Linked DNA regions of Canis lupus familiaris. The protein of the gene in region 1 binds, or shares a complex with, the protein of each later gene. Links are inferred from orthologs where the notes say so. Each region holds a gene or a part of one and is shown in the gene's direction. Other genes may lie near its edges. The genes, in order: TCTE1, DRC1, FBXL13, DRC7, CCDC153 and IQCG.

The links.
Region 2: TCTE1 (region 1) and DRC1 share a complex: the UniProt entries of both Homo sapiens proteins name them as parts of the nexin-dynein regulatory complex. The link is inferred for Canis lupus familiaris from reciprocal best matches to the Homo sapiens genes DRC5 and DRC1.
Region 3: TCTE1 (region 1) and FBXL13 share a complex: the UniProt entries of both Homo sapiens proteins name them as parts of the nexin-dynein regulatory complex. The link is inferred for Canis lupus familiaris from reciprocal best matches to the Homo sapiens genes DRC5 and FBXL13.
Region 4: TCTE1 (region 1) and DRC7 share a complex: the UniProt entries of both Homo sapiens proteins name them as parts of the nexin-dynein regulatory complex. The link is inferred for Canis lupus familiaris from reciprocal best matches to the Homo sapiens genes DRC5 and DRC7.
Region 5: TCTE1 (region 1) and CCDC153 share a complex: the UniProt entries of both Homo sapiens proteins name them as parts of the nexin-dynein regulatory complex. The link is inferred for Canis lupus familiaris from reciprocal best matches to the Homo sapiens genes DRC5 and DRC12.
Region 6: TCTE1 (region 1) and IQCG share a complex: the UniProt entries of both Homo sapiens proteins name them as parts of the nexin-dynein regulatory complex. The link is inferred for Canis lupus familiaris from reciprocal best matches to the Homo sapiens genes DRC5 and DRC9.

What each region holds. Positions count from the first base shown.
Region 1 is NC_049233.1:12,894,248-12,899,687, reverse strand, and holds the start of TCTE1 (dynein regulatory complex subunit 5), read left to right. Parts: upstream 1-2,069; 5' UTR 2,070-2,182; intron 2,183-2,617; exon of another isoform or gene 2,618-2,731; intron 2,732-3,244; exon of another isoform or gene 3,245-3,958; intron 3,959-4,945; exon of another isoform or gene 4,946-5,008; intron 5,009-5,440. UniProt on the Homo sapiens protein: Component of the nexin-dynein regulatory complex (N-DRC) a key regulator of ciliary/flagellar motility which maintains the alignment and integrity of the distal axoneme and regulates microtubule sliding in motile axonemes.
Region 2 is NC_049238.1:20,543,336-20,548,557, forward strand, and holds the start of DRC1 (dynein regulatory complex protein 1), read left to right. Parts: upstream 1-2,082; 5' UTR 2,083-2,180; coding exon 2,181-2,335; intron 2,336-5,222. UniProt on the Homo sapiens protein: Component of the nexin-dynein regulatory complex (N-DRC) a key regulator of ciliary/flagellar motility which maintains the alignment and integrity of the distal axoneme and regulates microtubule sliding in motile axonemes.
Region 3 is NC_049239.1:17,297,198-17,302,616, forward strand, and holds the start of FBXL13 (dynein regulatory complex subunit 6), read left to right. Parts: upstream 1-1,975; 5' UTR 1,976-2,028; coding exon 2,029-2,103; intron 2,104-5,419. Other genes in the region: ARMC10 (armadillo repeat-containing protein 10), read right to left, coding at 1,385-1,523. UniProt on the Homo sapiens protein: Substrate-recognition component of the SCF (SKP1-CUL1-F-box protein)-type E3 ubiquitin ligase complex.
Region 4 is NC_049223.1:58,042,876-58,048,051, reverse strand, and holds the start of DRC7 (dynein regulatory complex subunit 7), read left to right. Parts: upstream 1-1,699; 5' UTR 1,700-1,810; exon of another isoform or gene 1,811-1,825; intron 1,826-2,892; 5' UTR 2,893-2,939; intron 2,940-3,071; 5' UTR 3,072-3,106; coding exon 3,107-3,294; intron 3,295-3,619; coding exon 3,620-3,794; intron 3,795-4,085; coding exon 4,086-4,211; intron 4,212-4,981; coding exon 4,982-5,176. UniProt on the Homo sapiens protein: Component of the nexin-dynein regulatory complex (N-DRC) a key regulator of ciliary/flagellar motility which maintains the alignment and integrity of the distal axoneme and regulates microtubule sliding in motile axonemes.
Region 5 is NC_049226.1:14,709,929-14,713,511, forward strand, and holds the end of CCDC153 (coiled-coil domain-containing protein 153), read left to right. Parts: intron 1-107; coding exon 108-200; intron 201-291; coding exon of another isoform or gene 292-485; exon of another isoform or gene 486-1,514; intron 1,515-1,527; coding exon 1,528-1,658; intron 1,659-1,957; coding exon 1,958-2,086; 3' UTR 2,087-2,381; downstream 2,382-3,583. UniProt on the Homo sapiens protein: Component of the nexin-dynein regulatory complex (N-DRC), a key regulator of ciliary/flagellar motility which maintains the alignment and integrity of the distal axoneme and regulates microtubule sliding in motile axonemes.
Region 6 is NC_049254.1:29,470,869-29,475,577, forward strand, and holds part of IQCG (dynein regulatory complex protein 9), read left to right. Parts: intron 1-2,285; coding exon 2,286-2,447; intron 2,448-4,057; coding exon 4,058-4,132; intron 4,133-4,709. UniProt on the Homo sapiens protein: Component of the nexin-dynein regulatory complex (N-DRC), a key regulator of ciliary/flagellar motility which maintains the alignment and integrity of the distal axoneme and regulates microtubule sliding in motile axonemes.

The sequences.
Region 1 (5,440 bases):
ATGGAGCCTGGCATTGGGCTCCCTGCTCAGCGGGGAGCCTGCTTCTCCCTCCCCCTCTGCCCCTCCTTTTGTTCTTTTGTTTATGCTCTCATCCCCCACCCCTGTTAAATAAATAAAATCTTTAATATATATAATTTCACAAAGGCTAGGAAGTTCCAGAAGGTCTTTTGTTTAAACAAGAGTCACTTTCCCCTCCAAGCATCCTTCTATAGGTGTCCTGTCACCTGTCTGATCCCTCACATAGGATTGAAAAGTCACCCAGCATCCAAATGAGAACCATTCTCATTGCCCCAAGTGCTTAACGAATGGGCTTTCCACACCAGGGGGTTCTGGGCACTCACAAAGGTGTCCCTAGCTGCTGAGACCCAGACCTGCCCTGTGAAAGTCATTACAGCAGTGCAGATCCTCACTGGTGCCGCTTGTTTCATTAACAGTAACTTCCCATTTTCAGGAAGGCAGGCCCTGGTGATTTGTCAATGAAATGAGCAGCAGGTACTGGTCAGCTGCTGACACTGTGGTGAGAACCAAAGGCATAAAACTTCCTGCACTTGTGGAGCTTTCTGCTAGCAGGGAAATACGCAGTAAAGAGAAGGCAGCAGATGGAAGGCAGCAATGAGGTCTGCAGAGAAGGCAGGACAAGGATTGGGAGGGGTGACTTCGTTGTTTCCTGGGAGGTGGCACTGAGTGGAGGGTATCTGAGGGAACAGTGCCCCAGACTGAGGGCACAGCCAGTGCAGGGGCCCTCTGGGGGAGGTGAGCCGGTGCAGTGAGTGGTAAGTGGCAGGTGATGGGGTCTGGAGAGCACAGGGGCCAGAGCCACCCAACTCTTTAAGACAAAGTGCAGGGCACGGGCCCCAAGCCTGAGCTGAAGCTGAGAAGTGGCAGCTCAGAGTGGGAGGAAGCCGAGAGCCAAAGGAACCCTCCTTCCCTAACAGGATGGATGCACTCAGGACCAAGCCAGACTCGGGAGCTCCACCTCTGTTCCCAGCTCTCTGTTGCTAGAGGAGGGAAAGGATCTCAGGAGATCCATCTCCAAGTTAAAGGCTCCCTGGTGACCAAGTTCCGGGGCCGTTTAGTTAAAATTATAAGTGTAAAGCACGGCTTCCCACATGATTTCTCATTCTAATTGCAACAGTTAAAGGGTTTGCGAGGGACCAGTCCCCACCGGAATGGGATGCCGGGGATTCCTTCTCGCTCAGCCCTGTGGGCTTGCAAAGCTGTACCTCCGGATCTCGGCCACTGCCACAGTGGCCACCTCTCAGTGACGCTCACTGGAAGCCCAGCTCTTTACTTTGGACACAGGGTGAGGAGTTGCGGTGACGTTTTACGATGAGTTATCCGAGCTTCTAAGATGTTAACTTACCCATGGCAACAGACTAGTAACTGGGAGAGCTGAAGGTAAAGCTAAACTGCCTCCATGTGAAACGTCCTACCATCCTGGTCACCTCTCCCCTCCTGAAGGACAGTTCTTATTAGCCAACCCCCCAGGTTGGTCCTTCCTGCCCGTCAGGAGCACCACATCCTGCCGCCCAGAGCTAAGGGGGACGGGGGGGGGGGGGGGGGGGTGACATAACGTTTAGTGCTGTGTGAAGGAGCGCTGTGGAGACCTGGAAACTTCCTGCCTGGTGCCTGACATCAGCCTTGTTCACATCCTGGAGAAAGGTGGAAGGTACCACACTGCAAGGATGCTGCAGCCCACAGCTCTCCTGCAAGGCTCGGGGCAACAGTAGGCCCCAGAGGAGATCCGGTAACCCCTGCAGGTGCCCTTCCACCTCCTCACCTTCCAGAAGAAACTGCGGATGCTTTTCCTTTGTCCATTCGTCACCGCGCACCCCGGTTCCACACAGAAGGTACCAAGAAGGAACAGCACTCCAGTCCGGAGCCCTGCCCCAGGCCCTACTCCTCCCCCTCCCCCAGAAAAGCCCATCTATTCCCAAGCGCGCTCCCCAGAACCTCGGAGCACGGCCCCCTTTCCCCCCACCCCGCCCCGCCCCTCCCCTCCCGGTTCCCAGGACCCACCCAGCGGCTCGCCGCGGAGGCCCGAGCGCACGCGGATGTAGGCGCGCACATGCGCACCCGCCCTCGGACCCGCCCCCTGGCGACGCGGGGCGTCCCTAACGACCGGCGCGGCTGCGCGGTGGGCCTGCAGGAAGGGGAGCGTCCGGCCTCGAGAGTGGGTGAGGTGAGCCCGGGAAGACAGCTCAAGCCCGGGCCTCCCTTATGGGGCTGAACTCCCCCTGCCCCCGCTCCCGCCTGGCTGAGATTGGCTTGGCTCTGAGCCCCGTCTGTCCCCACAGGAGACTCCCCACCCCACCCATTTGAGGCGGGACCCTTGCTTCTCCGCTAAGGTCACTGCATATTGGCCCAGAGGTTTAAGGTCTGCCAGTAAAGGGGTGCGGGGTTGGGGGGGGGGACACCACGAGAAGGAGGAAGGAGAGTGTGGGGCATCGGGTAGGTCGTGGAGGAGAGCAGTCCTGAGCCCCGGAGGAGCCGCAGGCTTCTCAGAAAGACGGACTCCCATTCCCAGCTCCTGCAGGCTGCAGTCCCTCCTACAGGTCCAGAAGCTTCAGTACCTCCCTTCCTCCCTCCCTCCCACAGCACGGCTGGTTTCCCTTGGTTACTAAGGAGCCGCAAGGGCCTCCTCACCCCTGGCAAGTTGGGGGAGGGACTCGCTGGCCTTTGGAGCTGAGCTTCCCTGCAGGAGTGTCTGAGCCCAAGGCAGGAGTAAGGGGTGAGGAATGAATACTCTGGAGCCCTTTTTAAGACAACAGACCCAAGTGGTCAGGAGTTGGGAGAAGGGCCAAGCCCAGGGGTGTGATAAGTGTGCCATCTCACTGGGGCCAATCACCAAGCATGCTGGGCCCAGGCTCCATCACAGAACTTTGCTGTCCTTCTTTTGTGATTTCACAAACTAAGAATTCCCAAGTGGGAATTTGGGAGGCATATGGCCGGAGGTAGGGTCTGATGGAGGCATGAAAGAGATCAGGAAAGTAAGACAAAAGCCCAGGGCCCCTGAGGACAGATGCCCAGGGAGGGGTCTCCTCTGGGATCCTAAAGTGAAGGAGAAGCTGGCTGAGAAGTCAGAGGAAGCACAGAGGGAGAAGTGGGTAGAGGATATAACCCATCTAGCCGAGCCAGCCCAGAAGGTAGTGTCCAAGGGGCACAGAGATGCTTCGGCTCCTCAGTTAAGAGGAAGGCAGGTAAAAAAAAAAAAAAAAAAGAGGAAGGCAGGTGAGAATGAGGACCAGGGATGTGATGAGCAGGAAGGGGAGAGAGTTCTCCCCCAGCCTCTTCAACTTTCCCCTTCAGGCAGTGGGGAGAACCGTCTGGCTACAGTGGTTAGATTTAACTGGAGACTTGAGAAGAATAGAGAAGGTTTGAGACGTCCGAGAGGAGGGAATGTGCTAGAGATTCAGGCACTGAGTCCCAGGTCTATGAGCAATATCAAGGGCCCAATGTGAGCCATGGAGCAGGAAAGTGCAGCTCTACAGAATGTTCTTGGGTCCCTAGAGGCCTCATGCTGAAGGATTCAGGCGACGGTCCAGTTCTGTGGAAGGGCCTCATGTCTGGCAGTGACTTAGGGGGTGAGGGAGTCTGGGCTGTTTAGGCCAGCATCTAAAGGGTTACCCCAGGCTTCACACTGGTGACAGGATGAGAAGCGCCCATGAGCTGCAGAAAATAGGAGGCCCGCTGGAAAAGTGCCATGAACAACTGAATCTGGACAGTTTAGGAAGCAATCCCAACAGCTTATTATTTCTATGCTTTTGTGCATGGAAGTGACAGAGAGCTTTGAATGGGTATCAGCTGAAACTTTAGGTCTCCCACTTACTAGCTATGTGATGCTTAGCAAGCTACTTATGCTTTCTAAGCTTGTTTCCCCATTTGTGCAATGGAGATAATAGTGTCATAATAGCAGGAATAGTCCTCAATTGAAGGAAGATTGAATGAACATACCTAGGTAAGTCATGTCACATCTTCATCACAAATCTAACACATATTTTGAAGGGTGGCTCTGGGCCCAGCATGACATGAATCCTCTTACACACATCAGCTCCTTTAAAATCTTCTGGATAATCTTAGGAAGTAGACACTACTAATTTCTACCCCCATTTTACAGATAAAGAAATGGAGGCTTAGTAGGGTGAAATGACTTCCCCAAGGCCTCACAGATGCTCCGGGGTAGAGTGGAGATTGGCCTTAATGCAGTATAATTCCTAAGTCCTTACCAGCTGCCTCCTGCTGTGCAAATGCTTTGAGAGCCTAAAACTCCATAAATCATAGCTGTGTATAGGCAAGATATGGTTCCCAGGACACTTGTCCAGCAGATGCAAGCCATCAAAAACAAGGCCAAGCTGGCCGAACTAGGGCATGTTGTCACTTAATATTACCTGTGCTTGGGCACATAGAGAATAGACTTTTACACCCAACCCTTTGAGTTATGGCCTGAATGTGATTTTAGGACCCTGGGCCCTGGTCCTAAGGACACAGAACAGAGAGCTGGTTGGGAGAGGATTGACCTTTCTACAGGGATTGTGGTCCTGTGTGGGGTTAGGCTGGATGATGGCTGGAGACACAGCATTGTAAAGCCCAACAGGCCTGTGAAACCTGTGCCAGGAAATGAAAGGTCACAGGACATGTCCCCACCTTCCCCATCCTAGAGTAAGCTGTGCATTTCAATAGGGGCACCAGGTGGTGGCACAAGAAGTGATCACTCCCCATGGCCCTGACTTTCTCTCTGGAATATGAGAAAAGAGAAGGATCAGAGTGTTCAACACACTTTCAGTCTTCATACTCTGGGATTCTCTGTCTACCCCATAGGTTCCCTAGGGAGAAAAGCTCCAAAGAGGAAAGTGGGTGCCATTTCTGGAGCTGTCCTCCTCAGGCCCTTAGGAGCTGTCGGGGTGCCTTTGGGCCCCTCACTAATGGGTGTCTATCCACCCCCCAGGCTTCCAGGAAAAATAATGCCACCTGCTACCACCCTCAGCTGCAGACTGGTGATGCCTGTGAAGTAGGTGGAGTTATCTCAGGTCCCCTGACTTATTCTCCTATGGGCCCTCCACCCGTGGTGATGTGTTCTCCTTGCCCTCTTCCTAACTTGACTTTTTGGATCTGAAATTCATTCACACAGAGGTGTGGATGCCTGATAAGAGGGGAGATATCGATATAGATAGATAGATATAGATATAGATATAGATATAGATATAGATAGATAAATGTATATGTTATGAACCAGTAATTTCCGTAGTAGGGTGCCAATGTCTCGTTGCTTTCCTGGCCTGGGGAGGCCTTTTCTGACAGGCTCTCTTTGCCTAAAGATAGGAGCCCAGCCTCCCAGGAAGCAGGGACATGCCTTCCTCTTTCCTGGGGAAGGGTGGAAAATGTGGGGAGGGGACGCACCCAGCAAACTGTGGAAGAGCAGTGCCCTGTGGTGACAGAGAGG
Region 2 (5,222 bases), on another chromosome or scaffold:
ATCCATGTCATTGCAAATGGCAATATTTCATTGTGTATGTGTGTGTGTATAAATCACATCTTTATCCATTCATCAGTAGATGGGACAGACACTTGGGCTGTTTCCATAATCTGGCTATTGTAGATAATGCTGCTAAAACATCAGGATGTATGTATCCCTTTTGTTTTTTGTTTTTTTATTTAAATGCCAATCAGTGGGGGATCCCTGGGTGGCGCAGCGGTTTGGCGCCTGCCTTTGGCCCAGGGCGTGATCCTGGAGACCCGGGATCGAATCCCACATCAGGCTCCCGGTGCATGGAGCCTGCTTCTCCCTCTGCCTGTGTCTCTGCCTCTCTCTCTCTCTGTGACTATCATAAATAAATAAAAATTAAAAAAAAATGCCAATCAGTGTATGTTGGCAAATTGAATACCAATAAAAAATAAATTTATTATTAAAAAAAGGAAAAAAATAAATGCCAATCAGTTAACATGTGTATTATTAGTTTCAGGTGTACAATATAATGATTCAATACTTGCATACAACACACAGGCTACAAAATCAATGTACATAAATCTGTTATATTTCTTTTCTCTTTTCTCTCTCTCTTTTTTTTTTTTTTTTTTTTGAGAGTGGGAGTAGAGGCAGAGGGAATGGGAGAGAATGAATCTTAAGCAGGCTCCATGCCCAGTGTAGATCCTGACATGGGGCTTGATCTCACAACCTGAGATCATGACCTGAACCAAAATCAAGATTGAATGTTTAACTGACTGAACCACCCAGGCACCCCAGAAATCTGTTGTATTTCTATACACCAATGATGAAGCAGCAGAAAGGATTCAATCTCATTTATAGTTGTACCAAAACCAATAAGACACCTAGGAATAAGCCTAACCGAAGATGTAAAAGATCTGTACTCTGAAAACTTTAAAACACTGATGAAAGAAATAGAAGATGAAACAAAGAAATGGAAAGACATTACATGCTCATGGGTTGAAAGAACAAATAATTAAATGTCTGTATTACCCACAGCAATCTACACATTTATTGCTATCCCTTTCAAAATACCAACAGCATTTTTCCAGAACTAGAACAATCCTAAAATTTGTATGGAACTACAAAAGACCCCAAATAGCCAAAGCCACCTTGCAAAGGAAAAGCAAAACTGGAGGCATCACAATTCCAGACTTACAAGTTATAATTAAAAGCTGATCAAAACAGTATGGTACTGGCACAAAAACAGACACATAGGTCAGTGGAACAGGATAGAAAATCCAGAAATGAACTCACACAACTATATGGTCAATCTTCAACAAAGCGGGAAAGAATATCAATGAGAAAAAAGTCTTTTCAAACGATGTTGGGGAACATCTCTCTAAATATGAGATCTGAAACCATAAAGCTCCTAGAAGAGAACACAGGCAGTAACTTCTTTGGCCTTACTTTGTGCTCATTTTTTGACCATATGTACTAGATATATTTCAAATAGAACTTGGATCACATTCTACACATTTGTGTTACATCCTTTCTTCCTCATTTCATACATCTTTAGGTCTTTGTAGGTCAGACCCATTCTTAGTAGCTACATTGTTATCCATCCCGTGAAAGCTTTATCAATCCCATTTTTTTAAAAAAGATTTTATTTATTCATGAGAGACACAGAAGAGAGGCAGAAACACAGGCAGAGGGAGAAGCAGGCTCTCTGCGAGGAACCTGATGTGGGGTTGGATCCCAGGACCGCGGGATCACGATCTGAGCCAAAGGCATGCTCAACCACGGAGCCACCCAGGCGTTCCTATCAGTTCCCTATTGATGGATTTCAGGGTCACACTAGTGTTTTAACATTATAAATAACTACAGCGAGCATACATATACATCTGTGTACACTTCTTTCAGCAAACACTAGTTGAGCACTTACTACATATTAGGCATTATGCTCGGCGCTATTTGTACAGTGCTGAACGAAACTGATGTAATTTTCACCCCACTAAGGTAGAGCCTAAGTCCCGTTCTCTCTCCGGGAGAAGAATACAGAACCCAGGGGGGCGTGCAGCCTCAGGTGGGCGTGGCCTGGGAGCTGTTCGCGCGCGCTCCAGCTGCGGGTCAGGTGCCTGCTTTTCCCTGGCGACGACTTGTTGCTAGCAACGGGGCCGTGGTCCGGCGGTGGTCCAGGCGCCGCGGGCCTGGGGCGGGAGGCACCTGCCATGAATCCGCCGGGATCTCTGGGGGTTCTGGAGGAGAAGGAGGAGGAAGACTTGTCCACCCCGATTCTCGGGCCGTCCATATACTCTGACAACCCTCAGGAGCGGATCCAGGCCCGGCGCCTCCGCATCGCGGCGCGACTGGAAGCCCGGAGGCGGTGAGCGGGGGTCCGGGCGGTCGGCAGCGGAGGCGGGGACCAGGCGGGCGCCTTCCCGGGGCGGGCGGGGCCCACGTGTGAGCGCAAAGATAGGCGGTGAGCTAGGAAAAACTTCTTCCGGAAGGTTCAACCAAAGTATGGGATATGAACACATTCAATACACTTGTGGAGTCAAAGACGGAAATAATAGTCTCTGCAGCAGGAAGTTTTTAAAAATTTATTGAAAGCCTGCTGTGCCATGCACTGCGAGCAATGGACTGCAGACACAGGCCATCCGTGACCTCCTCTCAGAGGTCTTTCTTTCCTCCTTCCCATCCCCACCTGCCTGCCTTCCACAAGCATTTCTGGAGTGGACCTCAGCTGTCACTTCTGCTGGTCTCAGTAGCTTATCTGGTTGTATGACACAAACCCTCATTCCTGAAGGGTCTGTGCCTGATAATCATACCCTTCTCAGGACAGGGTTGTTGCACCTGTCTACTCATAGGCACAGTGGGCTGTCACAAGAGGATTCTAAGAGGCACCTGCATGATCTTCTGAATTCCTGAACACCCTCACTGTGTAAGAGCACTTGTACCCTGTCCTGCTAGCCAGGGTCACCTATCCTACCAAGATGGTGACTTCTTGTTTGCTGGCCATTAGATCACAGAGTGGTATGGCTGTGTTCCAATAAAACTTCACTTTAAGGGATCCCTGGGTGGCACAGTGGTTTAGCGCCTGCCTTTGGCCCAGGGTGTGATCTTGGAGACCCGAGATCGAATCCCACGTCGGGCTCCCGGTGCATGGAGCCTGCTTCTCCCTCTGCCTATGTCTCTGAGCCTCTCTCTCTCTGTGTGTGACTATCATAAGTAAATTAAAAAAAAAAAAAACTTCACTTAAAGACGTTGAAATTTGAATGTCATATAATGTTCATGTGTCACAAAATTTTCTTCAGATTTTGATCTTCTTTTCTGAATTCATTTTTTAAGAGAAATTTTAGATTCACAGCGAAATTGAGTGGAAAGTACAGAGATTTCCCATATACCACCTGCCCCCATGCATACACAGCCTGTCCCACTATCAACATCCTCCAGAATGGTACATTTGTTACAAATGATGAAACTCGGGCAGCCTGGGTGGCTCAGCAGTTTGGCACTGACTTCGACCCGGGGCATGATCCTGGAGACCCGGGATTGAGTCTCCCGTCGGGCTCCCTGCATGGAGCCTGCTTCTCCCTCTGCCTGTGTCTCTGCCTCTCTCCCTCTGTCTCCCATGAATAAATAAATAAAATCTTAAAAAAAAAACAAAACAAAACAAATGATGAAACTCCATTGACACATCATCACCCTAAGTTCATAGTTTACATTATGATTCACTCTTGGTGTTCTATGGATTTTGACAAATATATAGTGATATGTGTCCACCATTATAGTATCATATGGAATAGTTTCATTGCCTTAAAAATCCTTTGTGCTCTTCCTATTGATCTGTTCCTTTTTTTTTTTTAATCATTAAAAAGTGTAAAAATCATTCTTTTCTTATGAGCCCTACAAAAACAGATGGGTCATATCTAGCTCTCAGGTCAATCTTGATGTAGTGGATCAACGTGATGTTCTCTGGGGTATCCAAATGGTCCTGATTTATTCAGTCTATGTTTTGACAGAGATCAGGAGAATCAACATGACGCTGTGAGTGTGAGAATTATATGTGTATATATTATTGTCTGTTCCATGTAAATGTGAACTTCTGATTCTTTTTCCTGATTTAGGTAGAAAATAATACATTTGACCCAATCAGCAGCCACCTTGTATGTACATAAGACCACTCTACACTGCTCCAGCAAAGATACCACATTTACATGGCAACAGCAATGAGGCCTACTACTTGGTTGAGCTTGCAGTATTGATAATCATATTCTCAGATGCAACCAGTTTTTGCAGGGACCAGACCCGTGAACTAAATGGAAACATGATGGGGGGGGGGGGGGACCACCACTCCTGTATCCTTGAGATCCTTAAGGGTGATACTAATTTCCACCATCCCCACTCCCTAGCCCCCACTTTGTGATTGTTTTTATGTATTCAGGTACAGTTTTAAAGATGTCCACTTGGCCTTCCCTCCCATGATAACTCTTACCCACTCACCAACAACTTAATGTGGGAATTTCTCAAATTTCTAAGTATGTTAAGATCACTCTGATTGCTGTCTGAGGGATTGGTTTGCAGAAGCCAGAAGTATAATTGAAGAGGACAGTTAGGAAGCAGTTGCATTGGTTCTGTGAGGGATGAAGTTGGTCTGGTGGGTTTGGAGAGAAAGCAGATGTAGTCAAGAAATGCTTTACAGCTTAAACTGACTGGATTTACTGATTTTAGATATGCTAGTCAAAGACAGGGAAAAAGCAAGAATGGCTTGAACAGCTGAGTAGATGGTAGTGCCTTGCATTGAAATGATAAAGATGGTGATGGGGGAAGTGAGTCAGGAGGATTTGGAAATCAAGAGTTTGGCTTTGGACATATTCAGTGAAATTGGATTTTGGAAGACTTTAAAACCAAGATGTCCATTAGGCATTTGGACATGGGTCTTCAACTCAGAAGACAATTCTAGATTAGAGAGGTCAACAGCATTATGATTGTATTTAAAACCATGGGAATGGATTGAATTTACTCTGGAAAAAAGGATAAAAAGAGATGAGAAGAGAGCTCAGAAAAGGAATTAGAAACAGAAAAGGAATCGCTGACAAAGGGTTGTCTCCATGACATAAAGACCACATGGAATGGCTGGTGGTGCTGGTGAGAAAACGAATATGTGAGGTGCAGTGGTGTACCTAATGAGTTTAACACCTGGAGCAGGGGATTAAAAAAAAAAAAGCCTGAAAAGGAAAGCAGACAGTGAATGTTTTCTTTGATTGAAC
Region 3 (5,419 bases), on another chromosome or scaffold:
ATTAACATATTTGGTATATGTCTTATATACGGTATTCTTACAATAAAATAAACTAGAGAAAAGGCAATGCTAAGAAAAACATAAGGAAAATACACTTACAGAACTGTGCATATATTTATTGAAAAAAAAAATCTCGTGTAAGTAAACCTGCACAGTTTAAACCCCTGTTGTTCAAACGTCAGCCAGAACTGTAAATCCTCTCTTTGATATAAATGGCATTTAAAAAAATATTTTATTTATTCACGAGAAACAGAGAGAGAGAGGCAGAGGAACACGCAGAGGGAGAAGCAGGCTCCATGCAGGGAGCCCCATGGGGGACTTGATCACAGGACCCCGGGGTCATGACCTGAGCTGAAGGCAGGCGCTCCACCACCGAGCCACTCAGGTGCCCCAAATGACTTTTAAAAAGCTAAGTAACCGTCTTGCCAGTTTACATGTAAGAAAGTCATTCTTAGGGGCTTTTGGGGTCATCTATGTGAAATGTAAACATCAAAAGATGGAGCGCAGACCCCTAAGTTTAGCCTTGGCGCCTGGCTCCACGTGGTAACCACCTGCTCATCATAAAGATCCCGAGAAGTCTTATTTTCCTCTGGATCAAGGCAATTAGCTAACAGCGATAGCCACCCCGATTACCAGCGAATTTAGGATGGACTCTGTGTGAATGGTGCTGTCAAGCCCTCTTGAGGACAAGTTCCTGTTTATCTTCAGAACATGCAGAGATGACACGAAACAGACTTTATCCGCCAGATACACGAAGTGAAGACACGTGTGTCTTCTCAATCCCATCAGCTGATCGCCTGTGATGGGCACGGCAATCTGGAGTCGCGCTTATTCAACAATAAAGCTTTAGTTCTTTCCTCCATTTGTAGGGAGGAGTTTCTTGGTTGGCATCCGTGACCCGCACTATCCTAGAACACCCAGCAAATCCTCGGAATCCCGATGCACCACCGGCTTTGGGGCAGCAACCACCCCGGCGCTGGGTCGCGGGGGGTCGCGGGGGGGGCGCCCCCAGCTCCCCGCGCGGGCAGCTGCTTCCATCCGCGGCCCCGGGACCTCCGCAACCTCGTAACCGAACCGCAGGGAGTCCCCGGGCCTCCGCGCCGCGGCGGGGCCCCCGCCCTCCTTCCTCAGGGGCGGCCGCAGGCACCACCGCACCTTCCGCGGCGGGTCCTGACCCTGAGGGGCAACCCACGCGCTTCTGAGAAACCACCCAATCCTCCGCGGGGACGCCGCCCTCAGCCAGGAAAATCCGGGCGTTTTTACCCCGGGATTTTGGACGAGGTGGACGCAGGCGGCAGCTCAGAGCCCCAGCGAGGGGGCCGTCGTCCGTGCCCCCGCCCCCGCCCCCCGCCCCGGCCACCTGCCGGGCACCCCGTGGCCTCACCTGCCGAGCGCGAGGGGCGCAGCCGAAGCCCGCGGGCGCCTCGCCGCCGGCCCCGCGCCAGCTTGTAAATGTAGTAGCAGGCACCGGCCCCGAGGACCAGGCCCGCCGCCACCCAGCCCACGTCCCGGGCGCCGCCCATGCTGCCCTGGGGCCGGGGCGCTGCGCTGGGCCTGGCGCGCGAGGCGGGGAGCCGCGGATCCCGCCTCAGCCCGAGCGCCGGCGCCGGGAGGACACAGGAAATGGGGCCCGAGCCCCGCCTCCCGGAAACGGCCCTGCTGACACGGAGGGACCGCCCACTGCGCCCCGAGCGGCCCGGCGGGGCGGCAGGGGCGGAGCGGGGGCGGGGCCGGAGCGAGGGGGCGGAGCTAGGGCGGAGCTCCGCGAGGAGGCGCAGGGACCGCGCGCACCGAGGGGACTCACTGGGGGACGCGGTCCCCGTCCAGAGGTGGGCTTCCCCTCGCTCCCGCCCGGGCTCGGGCCCGCCTCCACGCCCGGCGGCTCTCCTCGGCTCCCGGCGGCTCCCGGCGGCTCGCGGCGGCGGGGGCGGGGGGCTCCGGGGCCGCGCCCGCCCCGCCCCGCGGTTGCCAGGGCAACGCCGGGACGCGCTAGCGGGCGCGGGGCGCGGAGTCTGGGGGGCCCCGGTCATGGCCTCGCTGCGCACCGCCGACTCCCGGCTGAGGAGCTACTTCAAGGAGAATTACATTCCTCAGGTGTGCGAGGTACTGGAGCCCGCGGCGGCGGCGGCGTTAGAGCAGCGGAGCCCGAAGACGTCCGGGAGGAGGGGCGGGGGTTGGGCCCGGCCGGGAGCCGGGGGCGGAGAGGGCAGGCGGCGCGGCGCCCGGGGCGGACCGGCTCGGAGGCCAGAGCACGGGGCGCGGGGCCCGGGACAGGAACCGCGAGCCCCGCACTTAAGGTCTGGGCAAGAGGCCCGGGGCCGCAGGAGGATGCGCAAGTGGTCGGGAGAGCGAGCGGGCAGCGGCGGGCCCCGGGGGAGGCGGAGCCTGGGGGCGCCAGGCGGCAGGCCCCGACCCCACAGCCCGACCCTGCCTGACCAGGGGCCCCTCCCCCCGTCGTTACAGCAGGAAGGACTGGAGAGGCCCGGCGGGTTTTGTAGGTTTGGGGATTAGGAAAGCAAGACCCGGTGACTGCCATTTTCTCGACAAAGATTTGGTGAGACGTATGCTAAGCCGTGCGTGTTTGCGCGGGTTTGGAGGCTGCAGAAGGGGTCTGAGCAGAGACACGTGTGTGGAGACTGAGGGGGAGAGAAGTCTGGGGAAAGAGACGAGGAGAGCCCGGCAGCCCTGAGAGCCCAGCTTGCGAAAGTGACTGCTGTGCACTTGGGAGGGCAGTTCGGTGCAGCCTTTTTGAATGGTTAATTTAAATTTATTAAATGTTGACTACATATAGCCTTTGACCAAACATTTCACTTCTAGGGATCCACTGGAGAGATAGGCTTTCACGTGTATCCAGAAAGCTGTCCGAGGATATTCATTATGGTGAAAATAGTAAATAACTTCTATATGAATAAGGGAATGAGATAGTATATAAAGTATGTGTATACCTTTTGAGAAGAAAAGCTCTCCAAGACATAGTTTAAAAGAAGAAGAAAAATGCAAGTTGCCCCAGAAGTGTCTCCTACAATGTAGCTACTGTGATTTCCTTTTTTTTCTTATTTTAAAGATTTTATTTATTTATTCACGAGAGACTCAGAGAGAGGCAGAGGGAGAAGCAGGCTCCATGCAGGGAGCCGGATGTGGGACTCGATCCTGGGACTCTAGGATCACGCCCTGGGCGGAAGGCAGGCACTAAACCGCTGAGCCACCCAGGGATCCCTACTGTGATTTCCTATGTCTGTGTGTAGCGACGTTTAAGACAATAATAATGCATGCATAGAACATATGCAAAACTATTAATAGCAAATGTTTGGGGGGAATGCTTTTAGGAGAGAACCCTAATTTTCTTTGCTGTGTATACTTGTGTATTGTTTTACTTTTTTTCTGCTGAGTCTCATTCATGTTTTACTTCTACACGATTATATTTCAAAATATGTAGAGAGCATGGCACTCATCTTCCCCAGGGTGTAGTTTTTCTTTCTTTTCTTCTTCTTTTTTTTTTTTTTTTAAGATTTTATTTATTTATTCATGACAGACACACACACACACACAGAGGCAGAGACACAGGCAGAGGGAGAAGCAGGCTCCATGCAGGGAGCCCAACGTGGGACTCAATCCCAGGTCTCCAGGATCATACCTCAGGCTGAAGGTGGCACTAAACCGCTGGGCCATCAGAGCTGCCCTGGTTTTCCTTAAGTAGCAGTCAGTAAACCCAATAGAGGTACAGAAATAAGATTGACTTCATCCAGGAGAGGTGTTGGCCAGGCATATAGTGTGGAGGGGCAGCGGGGAAGGAGCTAAGCTTTTTAGGGTACCTGAGTGATGGGCCAAGGGACTGGGTATGAGGTGAGAATGGGACCGGATATGATACATGGGTAGAAAGTGGAGGTTCCTAAGGAGTAAAGAGGATTAGCAGGAGTAACTGAGTGTGGGAGCTGGAAAAATAGGAGGGTAGGGGTCCGAAAGTGGAATATTTGGGTTTAAGATTTAGATCACTCAGAATAGCTGCGATGACCCTGTCTTGGTTGGCTGTGAGATACATAGCAGAAAGTGGGCTCGAGCTGAGGGTCCGGGAGCATCAGAGAAGTGATAGCCTTTCCTCACCTTGCTCTCCACTTCCCATAAGCTGGTAGAGGCATCCCTGGTTCCTCCTTTGGGTGAGAGCACCCTAGCCCACCAGCCTACCACATTGCTTTGCTCCCAGAGAAGGGGAGCCCTCAGAAGTGCCCTTCACTGAAGGCGATATTCTCATGAGCCCTTCCGTCACTTCTGACCACGTTACCAGCGGGGCAAGAGAGCAGGCTTCTGGGAGCCCCGCTCCCTCCTTAGCCTGGTTACCCACTTCCCCTAAAGGACTATCAGGATGAACCCGTTGAGCCTCATATCCCTACACAGCTACTCATCTGACCCGATTCAACAGGACTAGCAATCCTCTAAAACCCATCTTCGGCAAGCTTTGGAATACATACATTTTTTTTTTTTTTTTTTTAAATCAGGACTTCCCTGCATATTTAACCTCGTCTGAATTTCGCCCGCCTATCCTGAATAAAACCTGGATGTCATTTCCCTGCAAACCCCTGCATAGAGGCTGATTTAAAGAAAACAAACAAACCACAAAACACAACCCTGCTTGACTTATTGGGTTACTGATTCTATTGATTGATATTTTCCATCAGTTTTAGAAAATTTTTGATCATTTTCAAATAATGCTTCTACCCAATTCTCCTTTCTCTTTCTGGGACTGCAATCGTAATTATGTTAGTTTTTCCCCACCCCCTGCTCTGTTTTTTCCTTATTTTTCTCTTTGTGCTCAAGTTTGGATATTTTTCATGATTGTCTTCAAATTTATTGATTCTGTTTTATGCTGTGTCCAGGATATTGTTAATAAGTATATCAAATGAATTCTTAATTTCAAACAGTATATTTTTCAGTTTTAGAATATCAGCCGATTCTATTTTACACATTCTGATTAAAATTTTGCCTGTTTTCAGCTATTTTGTCTATCATTTCCTGTTTTCTTTAATATGTTGTCATTTTAAAATCATTGTTAACATGATCAGCTTTGAAGACTCCCAGAATGGGATAATTGTTGAAACTGGGTATGTGCACATAGGGGTTCATTATACTCCTTTACTTTCTGTATGTTTGAAGTTTTCCATAATAAAAAGTTAAAGGATAGTAATGGCTGGCTGTGTTTTCTCATACCGTACGTAGTTAGGGTCTGGCTGGAATGACAGGTGTGATTGGCTGGTCAGTCATTTTCTGTTTGCTCGCTGTATTAGTTACCCATTGCTATGTCATACAACTGGAAAACTTAGTGGCTTAAAACAACAAGAATCATTTTGTTTGTTTAAAAATCTGAATTCTGAAAGGTTTTTCAGGGAGAGCTTGTGTCTGCTTCATGTGGTACCACCTGGAGTGG
Region 4 (5,176 bases), on another chromosome or scaffold:
AGTTCTTAGTGAAAATATAAGAAACAGAGGAGGCATTAACACAATATGTACACAAGTTAAAAACAACAGCATGCAGAATGGTGCTCACTTTGGAAAAAAAACAATGGCCCAGAATAGGTGTCTATGACAGTCAGAGAATGGAATTGGGTATAGGGATAAAAGGGAATAAATAAATACACAAAAGAAGTGAGACCAGTCTGACATGCCACCTGTTTACCTTTCCCCCGCTCCTTGCTCACTATCACCCCAAACAACTTCCCCAGAGGTAATCGCAGGACACACTGCCCCGTGACCTTTCCCTCGGTTTTATTTATCCATCATGCTTTATTTCTCGTGACTGAGTAATATTCCCACCAGAATTTAAAATCATTATTTATTATTGAGAATTGAGGTGATTGCTATGTCTCCCCCAGGAGCAGCAAATGTCCAACCTTATCAGGATGGTGTTTCTGCCGACACGTTCCACCCCCCCACTCCCCCACAGGGCTGCTTTACAACTTTCAAGGCCCCTCCCTCCAATAACAAAAAAGTAAAAGTATATTTTTTCACTGCATTGGTACAAAGACCAATATAATTCAGGTGGACTCATAATTATATACTTGTGATTAGTCTATTCATTTTTTCTTCTGAATTTGAAAGATTAAAATTAATTTTCATGGGCCACTATGAGTTTTCCCTGTTTTGTGAGTCGTAGATGAAATCAGCCCATTTTCATGGGCTCTGGATGAGTTTTCCCTGTTTTGTGAGTCGTAGATGAAATCAGAAGCCCAACCTGGGCTAGAATCCAAGACTCATTTAGGTAGTTGGGTATTATCTACCATGATAAGCGGACACACCAGGTCCCACACTGGTTTCCACCTGTCTTGATGAGGGCCACACAGACCATGCATGCGGTAGAGGCAGTGGTGGCCTGGTAAATGCTTCACTGGGGGGAAAAGTCCTGGCGTATAACATTGGCCAATTTTATTTCTTTTTTCTTTTCTTTTTTTTTTTTTTAAGTAGGCTCTACACTGGGTGTAGAGTCCAACCTAGGGCTTGAACTCACAACCCTGGGATCAAGACTCAAGCTGAGATCAATAGTCGGACCCCTAACCGACCAAGCCACCCAGACACCCCAACATTTGCCAATTTTAAACAATTGGCATGACATCACTGAAGAGAAGGTGGGAAGAAATTCAGAGTAGCTTATCATTATGTAACATTTCCGTTATACAGATACAGTAGTAGGAAATAACTTCAAGAATATACATGCTGGTGAAATGTAGTAAAATAATTAAAAAGTAATGAGTTTTAATTACCTCCACTTCTAATATAATCTATTTATAAGTTTTTTTTTTAAGATTTAATTTATTTATTCATGAGAGACACAGAGAGGCAGAGATATAGGCAGAGGGAGAGGCAGGCTCCCTGCGGGGAGCCCAATGCAGGACTCAATTCCAGGACCCCGGGATCATGACCTGAGCTGAAGGCAGATGCTCAACCACTGAGCCAACCACGTGTCCATATTTATAAGTTTCTATAATTTAATGTGCAATCGTGGCTGTTTGTCAACTGGCTTGCAAACATTTCTGAAATTTTAACAATCAGCTCTTGCAAGTTGGCACAAACTGGCTCCAGCCTGTCACTTGCTGAGGGACCTACCACACATAGTCTTCTGGGCCCAGATCTAGACAGCAACAGAAGACTGCATTTCCCAGAAGCCTCCTCTCCCAGACCCTGCACTCTGCTTGGAAAGCTGTTTCCATGGAGACAGGCTAACAGATGGCCCAGACAGTCCTCAGAGGGGTGAGGAGTGAGCAGAGGCCCTGAGGTAGCTGGTGGTGGGGTAAGAAGTAGGGTGGTGATGGGAAGAGGGCTTTTTCTGCTGAGGGGCTTTCAGGCCTGATCTTTCTGGGGAAGCTGTGTGTGTGTGTGTGTGTGTGTGTGTGTGTGTGTGTGTGTAGGTTTCTGGTTGCTGCCAGGGAGGGGTGCAGAAAAGGGCCTGTGGGGTGGGGAGGTCCTCTGGGCAGGGACTGGCCTCCCTAAACCAGGCTGTACCTGAAGGGGCAGCCTGGTGTGGGAAATTAGTATAACAGGTTCTGGCTCAGTTCCACCTCTCATGTTCTGTGACCTTGGGCTTGGGGCCCATCTCAGTGCCTGTCATAGTTGTAACCCCCTGCTGCTCACAGACACCTTGGCTTTCTCCCCACTTCCTTCTTTACTTACCTCTCCCCCACCCCACCCCACCCCACCCCCGCCCCATCCCTTCTAGGGCTTCCCAACTTTATCGGGAAATAGATCCTGGTAGGTCCTAAGGTGTACGGTTTCCAGAGCCAGAAATATACGGCTCAAACCCCAGACTGCTACTTATTAGCTCTGTATTGTAGCCACTGCACTTAATGTCTCTAGGTCTCAATTTTCTCATCTGCAAAGTGGGTACCAAAGGAGCGTCTACCTCTCAGAGTCTGTAAGGGAAGAACTCAATTCGGTGCCCTATCTCCTCTGCTTCTCCTTTACTTCTCCTAAGGGACACTTTGCCCCACCCCCCACCTCTGGTCACCAAATGTGTGGGGGTTTCTCCCCACACCAATAAGTTCTCTGCGACCTCTGTCCTGCGGGCTGACACAGGGCTTGACCCAGAGAGCACAGGCTATGTCACCCCCCACATACTTGTCCAGGTGCCTGGTGGCAGCCTGCCCATGCCTTTCTCTGTGCCTCGGCTCCAAGCCTGGTGATGTTACCTTTCTTTCCTTCCTCTTTTCTCTAATCCCTATGGCATTAGCATCACTTGCCATGAAGAGAAGCTACTGTTGAATAAGTAAAATAAATAAAACTGCATTAGTAACTTTGGGCCACCTGCTCAGCCCTGACAATAGCTTCCACGCTGCGACCTGCTCTGTCTCTGTCTTATAGGGAGATCCGCAAACGGTGGAAAAGTGTCACAGACGTGCTGGCACCAAGTAAGACTTTCTTTCTCCCTGATGGAGGGGAAGTTGAGGGGGGCTCGCTTCCCGCCCCCAACCCCTCCCGGAGACGCAGGCCACCCTGGTGACTGAAGTGGGCCACCCTTGGTGCGTTCACCCCTCCCACAGAGACTCGGGCTCAGGACAGCCAGAGGCCGCCGGGGATGGAGGTCCTGAAGGAGAAAGTGGAGGAGGAGGCGGCCACGGAGCGGGCAGAGGCGGCCGAGCGGGGCGAGAAGCTGCTGAGGCCCCTGGACGCGCGGAGGGAGGAAGCCCCCATGACGCAGGAGATGCTCCGAGACCTGGAGAAGAAGCTGTCGGAGATTGAGATCGTCGTCCCGGAGCAGCCCTTGTGCGTGTCGGGGTCGGGGCTTCGGGCCAGACAGAAACAGCGGCTCCAGGGTTGGGAGGTGGGAGCCGACGCAGAGGGAAGCAGATACGAGTGAGGGCTCTGCTTTCCATCCGCCTCGTCCAGGTCCCCTCTCTGCCCCTCGTGAGCTGTGTGACCCGGGGCAAGTCACTCGGCCTCTCTGTGCCTCAGTTCCCTTCTCTGTTTAAAAGTGCACATGATAATAATGATACCCCTCTGGGCAGTTGTGAGGATTACACGAGGAAGGGCTAGCGCCAGCCAGGGTGCCAGCCCAGGTGCCAGGGGGCCACCTGTCTTGTGGGCACAGGACCTTCACGAAGGACTCAATCGACATCTCCAAGCTACCCCTCTCCTACCAAAGCAACACACTCAAGGAGGAACACCTGCTGCAAGTGGCAGACAACTTCTCTCGTCAGTACAGCCACCTGTGCCCAGACCGCGTGCCCCTCTTCCTGCACCCACTGAACGAGTGCGAAGTGCCCGTAAGGCCGGGTGGTAGAGGGTAGGACAGAGGCTGGAGGGCAGAGGGCAGAGGGAGGTGAGCCAAAGCCTGTGGGTCAGAGCTTGTATCTGGGCACAGCATAAACTCAAATGCCAGCATGCCCCAGCAGACTCCATGTGACTCACCCCAGGGACCTGTGGTGACCTGGAGACCCATGCCCATCTAAGGAGCCATGGATAACCAGCGCCCCACACAGGGCCTTGGCTTTGGGGGAGGGCTGGCCTCCCCTGGTGGAAGTCCTTCTTGGAGCCTGTGGTCTCTCCCCTTGCAGAAGTTTGTGAGTACAACCATCCGGCCCACGCTGATGCCCTACCCTGAGCTCTACAACTGGGACAGCTGTGCCCAGTTTGTATCAGACTTCCTCTCCATGGTGCCCCTGCCTGACCCCCTCAAGCCAGTAAGTGCCACCCCAGGCTGCATCCTTTGGCCCATGAGGCTGAGGATGGGAAGCCAGGGAGCAGGAGACTCAGGGAGGTTCAGGCCACGGCCCATAGTCTATCTGATCTGAGTCCCTCAGAGACCACCCCACCCAGGGGATGGGAGTGGGGGTGGGGAAATGGGCTCAGAGAGGATGGCCACTGGCCTGAGGTCACACAGCAAGGCTGGTCTCCTGGCTCCACCTCTTTGTCTCCTTTGCCTCCTTCTGCCTTCAGAGTGTTCCTTTCAAGACATGAGAGATGGGGAAAGGAGAGGGGGGGAGGGCCCCGCTGCCTGTGACCCCCGGCCCCATCTTTGGGCTTCTGTTCAGTTCAATTTGTTTCCCAACTGAGAATGGAGGGAACGAGGGAGAAAGGGATAGGTACACAGTGGAGAACTAAGGAAGGGAAGAGAAGGAAAGATCAGAAGAGAAGGTGAGAACTTTGGAAGAAAACCATTAAATGACCAATCAGAGAGCATTAGACCAGAAGCTTCCATAGTCCAGGGGTCTTTCCCATCAGGAAGTCCACAGCCACTTAAAATTATAGGCAAATGTGGATTGTACTTTATATACATGGGCCGTGGTCCCATCCCATTCTTAGCAGGCTCCCTAACCTGACAAAGTGGGGGAGCCCAGGTCGGGGGTGGGGATCCAGCCTGCGCCTTAGCCCTAGTGCCCAGCCGCTGGCCAGTGGGGGGACAGGTCGGGGGCTGCGGTGCCGGCAGTGCTGACCAACCCTCTGTGGCCAGCCCTCGCACCTATACTCCTCCACCACGGTGCTCAAGCACCAGAAGGGGAACTGCTTTGACTTCAGCACGCTGCTCTGCTCCATGCTCATCGGCGCTGGCTATGACGCCTACTGCATCAACGGCTACGGCTCGCAGGACATATGCCACATGGACCTGACTCGGGACGTGTGTCCGCTCACCATGAAGCACAAGGAG
Region 5 (3,583 bases), on another chromosome or scaffold:
CCACCAGACAAAGCAGGCCCTTCCCCCCTTCCCCCCACAACTTCCCTTTCTTTCTCCACCACTCCATCCACACCCGGGGCCCTGGTCACCCTCTGCCCTCACCACAGAGATGTGTCGTCAGTGCCGAGCCCTGCAGAAGGAAATGGAGACCCACAGGAGGCAGCAGGAGGAAGAAGTGATGGGCCTTCGGAAGAAGCTGGGTAGGCTTCCCCACCCCCTAAGCCCTTTCTCTCCAAAGAGCACTGACAAGGTCCAGCCTGCAGGGATGGACTTACAATGGTCCTTCTCTAGAAGACTGCAATCGAGGCTCTTGGACCATTGTCCCCCCTGACTCTCTCACCGTGGAGGATTGCAGCAGAGGGCTCAAGATGGCCAAAATCTCAAAGGTGGAACTAAAGAAACCGGAGAGACTCACGCTGTCTCCCTCTCTCGATGGTCTCGCCAAACCTGGATCTTCCTCCCTTCCACTGCCATGTCTGTCATGAAAGAAACATATTCCTTCTTTTTTTAAAGATTTTATTTATTTATTCATGCATGAGAGACACAGAGAGAGGGGGGCAGTCACTATATGGGGAGCCTGATGTGGAACTCAATCCCGGGACTCCAGGATCACACCCTGGGCCAAAGGTAGATGCTCAACTGCTGAGCCACCCAGGCGTCTCAAAACATATTCCCTCTTAGCTGATGTTTACAATGCAAACTAAGAAAAGATATTTGACTTATTTATTTTCATATCCTCAATGCCTTGGGCATGCCAAGCCCTACATAATTACTTGCTAAATCAAAGAATAAACCTTTTAGAGAAGCAAAAATGTAAAGGACAGGAAGTTTTTCCTTTCTCTCTTGGTTACAGGATAAAGTTGAACTATCTTAGCACGACACATAAGATCTTTCACAATTGTGACCTCAGAGTTTCCTTAACCTAAAATAGCCTCAGTTTCTTTCTTTCTTTCTTTCTTTTTACTAGGCGCCACACCCAATATGGGGCTCAAACTCATGACCCTGAGACCAAGAGTCAGCCAGGGGCCCCTAAAATAGCCTCAGCTTAGCTACAGATACCCAAGAGTTGCTTATCTGCCATGCGGACCCTGAATTCCTTTCATAATCCTTGCCTTATTTCAAATTTAAATTCGATCAGCATTTATGGAGCACCTCCTGTACATACTAGGTATTTTTCCCCATACACTCTCACATTTAACTCACAATAAGTCTGTAAGGTTTGTATCAATCTCTCTTTAAAGATGAAGAAACTGAGTCTCAGAGAGAGATGTACCCAAAGTTACACAGGTAGTAAGTGACAACCAGACTTTGGACGCACATTTCTCATCCCAAGCCTACTGCTCTCTCTGCTGTACCTCAATGGTATATGTCAGATCTTTATACGAACTATGGGAAAATTGATGATCCTGGGGGGGGGAGTCTGGAATGATCCCATTCAAGTTCTGCTTTTGAGGTGTCTTTGGAGACTCTGTTCACAAGTAGAATGTCACTACCCAGTCCCCTTCCTCCTCCCGCCCTGCCCTGCAGAGACGTGCCAGAGGGAAGCTGAGGCTGCGCAGCAAGAGGCTGAACGGGCCCTCGGAGAGCGGGACCAGACTCTGGCTCAGCTTCGGGCCCATGTAGTGGACATGGAGGCCAAGTACGAGGAAATCTTACATGTAAGCACCACCACCTCTGGAAGCCCTACCACCCCAGTAGCTAGGACTCCCCCATTCCCCTGAACCCCAACTAGTTCATACTATCATTGTCATCAATGGGAGACCAGGGGGGAGGAGAAGCATCTCCACAGAGAACCCTGCTCTGCCCCGAGGGCAGACAGCCAAGGCACGCAACCACACTTACTTAGTAAGAGTAAGAACCTGAAGAAGATGCTAGGAGGAAAGCTCGCAGACCAGCCCAGGGAAACCCTTGCTCTACCCTCTCTCCCTTCCTGGAGCCTGAAGCTTGGTGTCCACAGGGCAACCTGGACCAACTCTTAGCCAAGCTGAGAGCAGTCAGGCCTCAGTGGGATGGGGCTGTGCTGAGACTTCACGCCAAGTACAAGGAGCAGCTCCACCAATTTGGACTCAACCCCCTGGATCTCTAAAGCTGTAAGCTTCGGGGCAGCCCGGGTGGCTCAGCGGTTTAGTGCCGCCTTCAGCCCAGGGCCTGATCCTGGAAACCCGGGATCAAGTCCCATGTCAGGCTCCCTGCATGGAGCCTGCTTCTCCCTCTGCCTGTGTCTCCGCCTCTCTCTGTCTCTCTCTCTCCCTGTGTCTCTCATGAATAAATAAATAAAACATTAAAAAAATAAAATAATAAAATAAAATAAAGCTGTAAGCTTCTAGTCTCTGGGCCTCTGAGAGGCTCCAGCAATAAAGCTGTCTTGATGTAGAACTCCACAGAACTGTGGTCTGTGCCTTTTTGACAGATACAAATATCTCTTTGAGGGCATGTTGGTTCTGGCGGACCCATTACTCTGAAGATTGAATGAGAGGATAGAAATTTGACATTTGACAAACTCTCAACTCCTCTCTTAGAGAAACTGGGCCCCATGCCTTGAATCTTGGGCCCTTTGGGTCCTTTCAAATCACCATCCCCTACTCCCACTACCCACACCCCTCCCCGGCACCAACACAGGTAGCCAGATTTGTGGGGGCAAGGCCATTTCTTTAATAGACCAGCAGTGACCAGGCACCAGCCCCCACAATCCTAAGGTGCTGACAGAGAGAAGGTGTAACTGGTCTCCAAACTCTTGCAATATATGGGGGGAGTCCAGGAGTCATGCCTAAGGCAAGTTCCAGATGGCTTCAATCCTAGCCAATCCCATAGCCCACCTATAAAGGGAACACTGTGTTGCTCTTCTATTTTACAACATTCCCAATACTACTTTACTTCTGGTCATATATACGTCAGGGGAGGGGTCCCCCACACCAAGCAATTCTTCAACAGCTCTGTGGACCCCTGCTGGGTACCTTATAATTTCATTCAATTCTGGCACTACTAATGTGAAAAGAGCACCGGATCCCACAGGCTTACGGGACCAATCCCTACTTCAACTGCCAGTGTCAAGTCCAGATTGTCACTGTGCTTCTGACCAACTGACCAAAAAACAAAGGTTCCCACAACCCCCTTCTTGGGTTCCATCATTTGCTAGAGTGGCTCACAGAACTCAGAGAAGCAGTTTACTCCCTAGTTTACCAGTTTATTATGAAGGACACAGCTCAGGAACAGCCGGCAAGTATGTCTAGGGTGAGGCAGGAGCATGGAAGCCCCAGACCCTCTTCAGGCGTACCACCTTCCCAGCACCTCCACCTGTTCGGCCACCACAAGCTCTTTTTGTTATTTTATGGAGGCTTCACTCTGGAAGCATGATCAATGAAGCCATGGCTCATGGTGATTTGTTTTTTTAAAGATTTCATTTACTTATTCATGAGAGAGAGGCAGAGACACAGGCAGAGGGAGAAACTGGCTCCCTGTGGGGAGTCTGATGTGGGACTTGATCCCAGGACCCAGGGAGCATGACCGGAGCCAAAGGAAGACACTCAACCACTGAGCCACCCAGCTGCCCAGTCATTGGTGATTAATTAAACCCCCAGCACGT
Region 6 (4,709 bases), on another chromosome or scaffold:
CCATCAGAGCCTTATTAACTATAATTGGTTGACTGCTTGTTTCCATTACTAAATCCTGTTCTTCTGAATTCAAATAACAAGTACTGATCTGAAGGCAGTTCGAGGATTTGTAAGTAAAGTTTGCTCTGCTACGAAAACCCACAAATATGCTGCCTCAGTCCACAGACCTTGATCACGGGGAAGGTTGCAGACACCCTGGACAAGCAGGGTTATGCTGGTGGGTTGTGGTGAAGACAGATCTTTTCTTAGGGAGCAACTTAAAAGGAGTTCATACAACGGACAACGACCCTGGGCCCGTACTCCACTGCTTGTAGGCCTCCTCTCTTTTGTATACTGCAGGTGAAGATCCGGGGTGACGCTGCAGTGCACCTGGTATGCTTTGATCAAGATTTGACCATCACTAGTCTGTCCATATTTTACATCTTCTGTTCCCACATGGTCACCACAGGAGGCCACAAGTTGTGCCGAACAGCAGTAAGGAGGGAATAATCTGAGGCGCATGACGACGGCACAAAACCAGATGCCTTTGGCTTGGCACAGGGCAGCTGTAGACCAATGTCAAATGACCTTACTAAGTTATATAATGCAGCACCTTTTGCTTGCCGTAGGCAGAAACTCCTAGAGTTTTAACTCTGCATTTCTGATCTTTGTATTTTTACTCTGAAAGACTTAATATTCAGCTTGAAAAAGACAACTGACCAGAACATTTTCTTGAGTTTTTGAAAGTGTATCTTTGTATGGATGCTATTTAATGAATACCTAACTGTTTCACATGGTCAGGTTCTGTGAGAAACAAAATCACGATTATTTATATGGGCTGAGGTTTTCTAGAAAAGGCTTTCTGGACGTAAGTGGTATATAAGCAGGGCCTCAAAGAGAGACTGAGTGGTTAAGCAGGTGTACAGATTCCGGCCAGTGAGGAAAGGAAGCCATCCCATTCCACTCTAACTGAAGCCTTCCAAAACTCCAGACTTGGTCGCCAACCGCCTTACAGCTTGAATTAGAAGGGAGCAGAGAAGCAAAATGGCAAGAGACGGGAAAGGGAAGTGTAGAGAAAAGGAAGGGGCAAAAGTGAGCCCCAAAAGACCCCTCTAAAAATGAGTTTTTTTTTTTATGAGAACCACAGAGAGAGAGAGAGAGAGAGAGAGAACAAGCTGGGTGTGGGGTGGAAGAAGGGCAGAGGGAGAGAGAATCCTGAAGGAGACTCCCTGCCATGCAGGTCCCCCTGCCCCCAACACGAGGCTGATCCGACCCCAAGATCATGACCTGAGCTGAAATCAAGAATTGGCTGCCCAACTCCCTGAGCCACCCAGGTACCACCTAAGGTGTTATCTTTAAGTAATTTCTGCACCCAATGTGAGCTCAAACTCATAATCCTGAGATCCAGACATTCCACTGACTGATCCAGCCAGGCGCTCCAAAAGGTTTGTTTGACTTTGTCAATTTTCTAGAAAAGGCTTTTGGCTAGATCGTAAGCTCTGTGGGGGCAAGGACCATGTCTATTAGGTCTCCACTGTTTAACTTAGTATGGTACAGAATGAATATTTTTTTAATGAATATTGAAACCTTAAAATTGCCGAGCACTTTGTGACCTGCCAAGGGTTTTCACTTACTCTCAATTAATTCCTTCTAATCACTTGCTGAGATATTCCAGGCAGGGCAGATAGTAATGAAGGTAAGACTTAGAGAATTTAACTGACTTGGCTAATACAGCTGTTGGGGGCTTGGGTGGGAAGACACCTGATTCTCTTGATCATTTAGACCAGTGCTCTTTCTACCAAAATGAAGTAGTAATGGGAAATCTTTATGCATACAGACGACCCAGATAGTGCACCTAGGAAAGAATCTCCCATTCCTGATGCTTAGAACTACTTCTCTTTCATTTTCATCTATACTATCCATGATTATTGGCTAAGTTTCCTACAGTGCAGAAACAGAAAAATAGATTCAGTTTCTTGTTGATTTATAGATACAAAAGGTAGGCTTCAGTCATTGGCTGAACTGAATGGAGGTAGAATGTATTTTATTTATTTTGTTATTTTTTTAAATTTTGTTATTTTTTTAAAAAGATGTATTCATTTTAGAGAGAGAGGAGAGGCAGAGGGAAAGGGAGAGAGAGTTTTAGGCAGACTCCCCGCTGAGTGGGGAGCCTGATGCCAGGCTCCATCTCACTGCCCTGAGATCATGACCTGACCTGAAATCAAGAATTGGATGCCCAACCGACTGAGCCACCTAGGTGCCGCCTGAATGTATTTTAATTTCGAAAACTGGGCTTACCTCTACAGAGTCGGAATGAATATATTGCTCACCTCAAGGACCAGTTGCAAGAGATGAAGGCAAAAACCAACATGGAAAATCGCTATATGAAGAGAAACACTGATCTGCAGATCTCCCAGACCCAGAAGAAATGTAACAGAACCGAGGAGCTCTTGCTGGAGGAGATAGAGGTAATCACTGCATTTGGCACGAGCATGGTGCATGGCATGTGGGCTTTCACTCTTCATCTGCCTCAACTGACAGAGGAGGGAGGAAGAGGAGATTTTCTTGATCTCTGCTCCATCTCTCCTGCAACTCTCACATTTGAGATTAGAAATAAAAACAAAACAAGGTCTGGTGTATTTGCAGGCAGAGATTCTGATGGGCTGTAGCCTACATCTTTTTGTAATGATGTCGAAAATCAATTGTACTTTCTTTTTTTCTTAAGATTTTATTTATTTATCCACTTTTATCCACAAGAGACACACAGAGAGAGGTAGAGACATAGGCAGAGGGAGTCGCAGGCTTTCTGCGGGGACCCCAATCTGGGACTCGATCCTAGACTCTGGGATCAGTCCCTGAGCAGAAGGCAGATGCTCAACCACTGAGCCACCCAGGCGTTCCCCACCCCCACCCCCCTTTTTAAAGATTTTATTTATTTTCAGTTGTACTTTATTTCTTTGGTCACTTTATCTGTATCTTATAAAACCACTTGCCATTTTTCCTAGTAATTAGGGAGAAACAAGATACTTATTAAGTGTGGGTTTTGCTGCTGCCTTCCTCACCCCACCGGTACCTTTTGTACCTCCAGTAAGAAATACAAAGTCAAGAGAGCTGAACTTCATTCAAACCTAAATTTATAAAGATGAGAAGTCACAGTGGAAAATATCAGGAGAAAGACACAAGGGGTAGACCCTCCTTAGAAAAGGAAGGCTAAAATGGCTAAATGAACAATGGGTTGGTGAGAGGGAGCAAACATGGGAAGTGCCCTCTGTGTGCAGGAGGACTGCTTTCTTTGGGCCCCTACTTAGTGGAAAGCTTACTCCCCAGGTATGGCGTAGGACTCGGACTACAAACCTTTCTTGTATCCTGGAATTTTCTTTTCGAGGCCTAAGAACCGTGTGCCCTTGAAACATTGTTTCTCTCCTTATCCAAGCCAGCAAATCGTGGTCCTTTTGTCCTGGGCTCTGGCATGTGTCCAGCACAATGCCCGACACATGGCTCAGTGATGTTCTTGAACACGAACTGGGTGGAAGGGAATTGATTTGCCACCCTAGTGCAATACAACAGGATTCTTGGGATCCCAGCTGGTAAAGAAAATCTGAGGGGCGCCTGGGTGGTTCAGTCAGTTAAGCATCTGCCTTTGGCTCAGGTCATGATCTTAGTTAGGTCCTGGGATCGAGCCCCATGTGGGGGTTCCCTGCTCAGCAGGGAGTCTGCTTCTCCCTCTCGCTCTGCTGCTCCCCCTGCTTGGGCTCCATCTCTCGTTTTCTCTCTTTCTCTCAAATATATATATTTTTTAAGATTTTATTTATTTATTCATGAGAGACACAGAGAGAGGCAGAGACCCAGGCAGAGGGAGGAGAAGCAGGCTCCCTGCAGGGAGCCCGATGTGGGACTCGATCCCGGGACTTTGGGATCACGACCTTACCTGAAGGTTAATAAAATCTTAACCAAAAAGAAATAAGGAAAGCAGCCAGGCAGCCAGCCTGAGATACTGTCACAGCTACACCTCTAATCTTGAGAACTTCTCATTCTGAACCGTGCTGGCAGGAATTCCTGATATTTATCGTTTTCACAGAAACTGAGGTTGAAAACCGAAGAAGAGAACAGGATTCATATGGAGATTGAAACGTTCCTTAAGAAGGAGCAGCAGGTGGGTCACCCAAACTCCACTTACAAAATACCATGTATGGCAAAAAAATTGTTTTTAAGGAAATAAATTATTTGAGGGATAAAAAAATCAGGGCAGCCCTGATGGCGCAGCGGTTTAGCGCCGCCTGCAGCCCAGGGCGTGATCCTGGAGACCCAGGATCGAGTCCCACATCGGGCTCCCTGCATGGAGCCTGCTTCTCCCTCTGCCTGTGTCTCTGCCCCTCTCTCTCTGTTTCTCATGAATAAATAAAATCTGAAAAAAAAAATCAACCAGAATTTTACTGGCCTAATGAATGAGCTTTAGACCATGTCTTGTCTCACAGTTACTCATCTGAATGAACATTTTATAAAGCTGTAATTTGAGCACAGGTAAAATTTTGTCTTCTGCCTTTATCAGCTAGCAATATATAACAAACTTTTCTTGCTCCTATATTCCTCATAGTCATAATTTTAAATTAAAATTTACTGATTCTTAAAATTATTAAAATAACATACTCTTAGTTGAGGGAAGTTTTTTTTTGTCAGTTGCTTTTTGCCTCATTTTTTTCATGTTATTATAGTGTCTTCATAAAAATAAT